2 linked regions of the Oryctolagus cuniculus genome follow. The protein of the gene in region 1 interacts with the protein of each later gene in a biochemical or structural test. Links are inferred from orthologs where the notes say so. Each region holds a gene or a part of one and is shown in the gene's direction. Other genes may lie near its edges. The genes, in order: RRM1 and RRM2.

Region 1 (3,819 bases):
GGCATCCCATGAGTGCTGGTTCAAGTCCTGGCTGCTCCACTTCTGGTCCAGCTCCCTGCTGATGTACCTGGGAAAGCAGCAGAAAATAGCCCAAGCCCTTGGGTCCCTGCACCCACTTAGGACACCTGAATAATAATGCTGAACAAACAGATGGATATTCTCCCTCTATTTCTCCCTCTTTTTCTGTAACTCTGCCTTTCAAATAAATCTTTACCAAAAAAAAAGAAAAAAAAGAAAGAGAGAGAGAAAGAAAGAAATCAAACTTACGATTCCTGACGCTTTCCCTTTGCATTCCAGGTTGCGGTTTGTAACTTGGCTTCCCTGGCCTTGAATATGTACGTCACACCAGAGCACACATATGACTTTAAGAAGTTGGCTGAAGTTACTAAAGTTATTGTCCGAAACTTGAATAAAATTATTGATATAAATTACTATCCTGTCCCAGAGGTATGAATAGATTTCTCTGTTTATTAATAACTTTTTTTTTTTTTTTATTATTATTATTATTTTTATTTTTGACAGGCAGAGTGGACAGTGAGAGAGAGAGACAGAGAGAAAGGTCTTCCTTTGCCGTTGGTTCACCCTCCAATGGCCGCCGCTGCAGCCGGCGCACCGCGCTGATCCGATGGCAGGAGCCAGGAGCCAGGTGCTTTTCCTGGTCTCCCATGGGGTGCAGGGCCCAAGCACCTGGGCCATCCTCCACTGCACTCCCTGGCCATAGCAGAGAGCTGGCCTGGAAGAGGGGCAACCGGGACAGAATCCGGCGCCCTGACCGGGACTAGAACCCGGTGTGCCGGCGCCGCAAGGTGGAGGATTAGCCTATTGAGCCACGGCGCCGGCCTGTTTATTAATAACTTTTGAAATCCAAGATGGAAGGAATTTATCCTGGTCTGCATTGTCATTTAAATGGTTATCGTTGGAGTTGTGTGAGAAAACCGAAGTAGGGGGAAATATGTGTTTTTAGTGTAGAATGTTGCCTTTTCTTTTCCATAATTTAACAGATATTCTGTTTTTCTTTAAATCTGTTGGCACAAAGGCCTGCTTATCAAATAAACGCCATCGTCCCATTGGAATTGGAGTACAAGGTCTGGCAGATGCTTTTATTCTGATGAGATATCCTTTTGAGAGTCCAGAGGCCCAATTGTTGAATAAGCAAATCTTTGAAACTATTTATTATGGAGCCTTGGAAGCCAGCTGTGACCTAGCCAAGGAGCATGGCCCATATGAAACCTATGAGGGCTGTCCAGTAAGCAAAGGAGTAAGTATATGAATGAAATGTCCTTTTACTTGTGAGTACCCATTGTGATCTGAATGGTAGTTCCCCAAAGGATATATCCACATCCTAGTCCCTATAATCTGTGATTGTCACTTACGTGGTTCAAAAAAGGGTCTCTGCAGATATAATTGAGATGTTGAGATGAAGAGATCATCCTGAATTATCTAGGTGGATTCTAAATCTACTGACAGTTGTCCTGTAAGAGAGACATAAACAAAAGAGAAGGAACGTGGAGGGAGAAATCCAAGTAATACAGGCACAAGCCCAGGAATGCTGATTGCCACTGGACACTAGAAGAGGCAATGAACAGAACCTCCTCTAGTGCCTCTGCAGGAAGTGTAGCCCCTCCCAACAGGTTTTTGAGTTCCTAGTCTCCAGAACTATGAAAGAATAAAATTAAAAAAAAATATTTATTGGAGCCTGTGCTGTGTGCAGCAGGTTAAAGCCCTGGTCTGAAGCGCTGGCATCCCATATGGGCACTGGTTCTGGTCCCGGCTGCTCCTCTTCTGATCCAGCTCTCTGCTATGGCCTGGGATGGCAGTAGGGGATGGCCTGGGTCCTTGGGCCCCTGCACCCACGTGGGAGACCCGGAAGAATCTCCTGGCTCCTGGCTTTGGATTGGTGCAGCTCCTGCCGTTGTGGCCATCTGGGGAGTGAACCAGCGGATGGAGGACCTCTCTCTCTGTCTCTACCTCTCTCTGTAACTCTGTCTTTCAAACAAATAAAATAAATCTTAAATAAATAAAACCATCAAACAAACAAAAATATTTATTTATTTGGAAGTCAGAGAGAGAGAGAGAGAGCGCACTTCCATCTGCTGGTTTACTCCCCAGGTGACCCCAATGGCCAGGGCTGGGCCAGGTTGAAGCCAGGAGCTTCATTTTGGTGTCTCACATGGGTATCGGGCCCAAGTACTTGGGCCATCATTTTGTTGCTTTTCCCAGGCCATTAGCAGGGAGATGGGTGGGAAGTGGGATGGTTGTGTTGCAGGCAGCAGCATTACCCACTTATGCCCCAACACTGGCCTTTACATTTGGTTGTTTTAAGCTCCAAAGTATATGGTAATTTGTTCCACCAGCCATGAGAAACTTCTGTACCTTTATCCTTTGGTGTAAAAATGATACTCTTAATTTTTTAAAATTTAGAAGTGGTCACTGCAGAAATAACAAGAAAAATGCTGCCTGCATTAGTTTTTTATTGCTAAATTTAGTGGATTATAAAAACATACATGTATTATCTCACAGTTTCCCTGTGTCAGTAGTTCAGGCTTGGCTTAGCTGACCGTCTTCTTTGGGTTTCATGAAGCTGTGGTGAAGATCTTGGTAGGGGCTATGGTCTCATCTATGGCTCAGGGTGCTCTTTCAAACTTATTTGGCTGTTGGCAGAATTCATTTTGTAGCTTTAAAACCTATGGCATCTTGCTTCTTCAAGACCAAGGGGAGAGACAATCTAAAGAGTCCTTCTGAGTGCTTTTATTAAGTCAGGTCTACCTTAGATAATTTTCTTTTTGTTTAGCTCAAACTGAACTGATTTGCAACCTTAATTGCACATTGCAAAAACTCTTTACCTGTTCTATAATCCTGAACATTCATCATATTCCCAGATGTCTACACTCAAGTAGAGGGAGTTGTACATGGCCAGTGTACTAGGGGGAGGTATCTGGGTTTGAATCTTAGAACTCTGCCCTCCATACCACCTTTATTATCAGTAGTATCAATAGGATTCCCTGCTACATAAAAATGTTCATTTAGCTCTGATGTTCTGCTGATACTTCAGAAATAAAATGTGTGGTGTTTGTAAATAGGTGATTTTAGCTGAGTTAAAAAGATCAAGGGACAGGGTAAGGCAGTGAAGAAAGATAAGGTCAGAGTGAACTGTTCCTGTAAAAAGAGAGAATGCATCTCAGCAGCAAGTATTCATGAACATTGGGATTTCCTAGTTTGTAGCTATGATGTGGGTTCTCTGAGAAGATTCAGCAGAGATGTGTGGAAGAGAAGGCCTTAGCCAGTTTTTTTAAGCCTGTTTCTGATCAGTATGAACACATGGACGTTTGTCCAGGAAAATCTGTGGACTTTGTATTCCTCACACAAATTGACTAGAAGAAAGCCTATGTTGGGATGACATGACAGTGGGCCATTTGTTTTGTTCTTGTTTTAAATTGTCATAGAGTGATGTCACAAATTTTGGCATTTTATTTCTTAGATTCTTCAGTATGATATGTGGAATGTTACTCCCACAGATCTTTGGGACTGGAAACTTCTTAAGGAGAAGATTGCAAAGTAAGTAGAGAGATTTAAGGTAGCTTCAAAGACAGGAGGGTTTGAGTTCTCCTTTGGCTCTTCAGAAAATAGACTTAACATTTTAACTTTTGAAACTAATTTTTTCTCCTCCTCTTTCAAATGGACCAAATGACCTACCTCAGAGCTATTTTTGGAAAAATACTTCATAAGATTTTGTATAGTAATCTGCAAGTTGCTTACCATAGTGAAAACAGCTGACCTTGTTTTAGGGACTTAAAGTCTAGATTAGATAATTCTTTTCCT
Region 2 (2,794 bases), on another chromosome or scaffold:
GGCCCATGAACTGATCTGACTTGAAATAATTATGCCAGTTAAGCCCCAGCATAGAATAGTTGTGTTGGCCTTGGACTTCAGTATGAGCTGAAGAATATCTAAAGTTGCCCTCATCAGCCTAAATCAAATGTTGAGGTTTTTTTTTTTTTCTTTTTTTTTTTTTTTTAAGATTTATTTGAGGCCGGCGCTGCGGCTCACTAGGCTAATCCTCCGCCTAGCGGCGCCGGCACCCCGGATTCTAGTCCTGGTCGGGGCGCCGGATTCTGTCCCGGTTGCCCCTCTTCCAGGCCAGCTCTCTGCTGTGGCCCGGGAGTGCAGTGGAGGATGGCCCAGGTGCTTGGGCCCTGCACCCCATGGGAGACCAGGAGAAGCACCTGGCTCCTGGCTCCTGCCATTGGATCAGCGCGGTGCGCCGGCCGCAGCGCGCCAGCCGCGGCGGCCATTGGAGGGTGAACCAACGGCAAAGGAAGACCTTTCTGTCTCTCTCTCTCACTGTCCACTCTGCCTGTCAAAAAAAAAAAAAAAAAAAAGATTTATTTGAAAGGCAAGATTACAGAGAGACCACAAGAGATCTTCAGCTGCTGGTTCATTCCCCAAATATCTGCAATGGCTAGGACTGGGCCAGACCCAAGCCAGGAGCTTCTCCCAGGTCTCCCAACATGGGTGCCGGGGCCCAAACACTTGGGTGGTCTGCTGCTGCTTCCCCAGGCACATTAGCTGGGAGCTGGATTGGAAGTGGAGCAGCCAAGACTCAAGCCTATGCCCATATGGGTGCTGGTGTCACAGGCTAAGGCTTTGCCTGCTCTGCCACAACACTGGCCCCAAATATTGAGTTTTTTTTTTACAGGCAGAGTGGACACTGAGAGACAGAAAGGTCTTCCTTTTTGCCGTTGGTTCACCCTCCAATGGCTGCCGCGGCCGGCGCGCTGTGCTGATTCGAAGGCAGGAGCCAGGTGCTTCTGGTCTCCCATGGGGTGCAGGGCCCAAGGAGTTTTGGGCCATCCTCCACTGCACTCCCAGGCCATAGCAGAGAGCTGGCCTGGAAGGGGGGCAACCGGGACAGAATCCGGTGCCCCAACCGGGACTAGAACCCGGTGTGTCGGCGCCGCTAGGTGGAGGATTAGCCTATTGAGCCGCGGCACTGGCTTGTTTTTTTGTTTTTAAGATTTATTTATTTATTGGAGCGGCAGAGAGATCTTCCATCCGCTGGTTCACTCCCCAATTGGCCGCAACAGCCGGAGCTGTGCTGATCTGAAGCCAGGAGCTTCTTCCAGGTTTCCCACACAGTGCAGGGGCCCAGCCAGGACTTGGGCCATCTTCTACTGCTTTCCCAGGCCAGAGCAGAGAGCTGGATCTGAAGAGGAGCAGCCGGGACTAGAACCGGCGCCCATATGGGACGCCTTCGCTTCATGCCAGGGCATTAATCCGCTGTGCCACAGTGCCGACCCTCAAATATTGAGATTTTTAGAAGTAATCATTCAGGGGCCAATGCTGTGGCACAGCCGGTTAAGCTGTGGCCTGCAGTGCCGGGATCCCATATAGGTGTTGGTTCAAGCCCTGACTGCTCCACCTCCAGTCCAGCTCTGCTGTGGCCTGGGAAAGCAGCGAAGGATGGCCCAGGTACTTGGGTCCCTGCACCCTCGTGGGAGACCCAGAAGAAGCTCCTGGCTCCAGGCTTTGGCCTGGCACAGTCCTGGCCATTGCAGCCATTTGGGGAGTGAACTGGTGGATGGGCGATCTCAACCTCTACCATCTCTCCTCTATAACTCTGCCTGTCAACTCTTTTTAAAAGTAATATTCAAGGGAAAAGCTAAATAGTGAAAAGAAAACAGTTCACTCTGAGTTCTTTTGGGGAGAGAGCTGACAGATAGTTGAACTTGGCTTTCAATCCGGTGCTGTTAGAAGTTTTGGGAATTGGAGGTCTTTGACCTAAATACTGATGCTGTCTACGCCTCCTAGGGAATTTCTCTTTAATGCCATTGAGACGATGCCTTGTGTCAAGAAGAAGGCGGATTGGGCCTTGCGTTGGATTGGGGACAAAGAGGCGACCTACGGTAAGCTTGCCCGTGGCCACCTTAGACCAGAGCGCGTGTTCCCGGTAATGACACTGCGGGTTTCCCTGGGAATGCCGTGACTCACTGGAAACTCTCGGACAGGAGAACGCGTCGTAGCCTTTGCTGCGGTGGAAGGCATCTTCTTCTCTGGTTCTTTTGCGTCGATTTTCTGGCTCAAGAAACGAGGACTGATGCCCGGGCTTACGTTCTCCAATGAACTTATTAGCAGGGATGAGGTGAGTCCAGTCTCAGGCTGCACCCTGAACACCTGCGGTTCTGAGAGGCACACAGGTCTCATGGCTCCATATCCACGTTTGTTTATTTCCTGTTTATTAAGATTTACTTATTTGAAGGGCAGAGTTAGAGAGGTCTTCCATCTGCTGATTTAACTTCCCGGTGTCTGCTGGGGCCGGGCCAGGTCAAAACCAGGACTCAGAACTCTGGTCTCCCGTGTGAGTGCAGGGGCCCCAGAACTTAGGCACCTGCTGCTGCCTTCCCAGGCGCACTAGCAGGAACTGGAGCAGAAGCGGAGCAGCCAGGACAAGCTGGTGCCCATATGGGATGCCGGTGTTGCAGCCAGCGGGTTAACCCCGTGCACGGCAGTGCCGGCCCATGTCCACATACATATTCAGCAAAAAATGAAGCCCTTTAACTTGCTGACATGTGTTCCCTATATTTATACATGCGTGTTGCTCTTCAGGCTGGACTGTAAAACTCCGTTCCGCTCTGGTAGGGGTCTT

The links.
Region 2: the proteins of RRM1 (region 1) and RRM2 form a complex in vitro, tested with the Homo sapiens proteins (3 studies listed by BioGRID and IntAct). The link is inferred for Oryctolagus cuniculus from reciprocal best matches to the Homo sapiens genes RRM1 and RRM2.

Annotation. Positions count from the first base shown.
Region 1 is NC_091432.1:62,784,894-62,788,712, reverse strand, and holds part of RRM1 (ribonucleoside-diphosphate reductase large subunit), read left to right. Parts: intron 1-297; coding exon 298-447; intron 448-1,036; coding exon 1,037-1,258; intron 1,259-3,478; coding exon 3,479-3,555; intron 3,556-3,819. UniProt on the Homo sapiens protein: Provides the precursors necessary for DNA synthesis. Catalyzes the biosynthesis of deoxyribonucleotides from the corresponding ribonucleotides.
Region 2 is NC_091433.1:192,177,365-192,180,158, reverse strand, and holds part of RRM2 (ribonucleoside-diphosphate reductase subunit M2), read left to right. Parts: intron 1-1,959; coding exon 1,960-2,054; intron 2,055-2,156; coding exon 2,157-2,290; intron 2,291-2,794. UniProt on the Homo sapiens protein: Provides the precursors necessary for DNA synthesis. Catalyzes the biosynthesis of deoxyribonucleotides from the corresponding ribonucleotides. Inhibits Wnt signaling.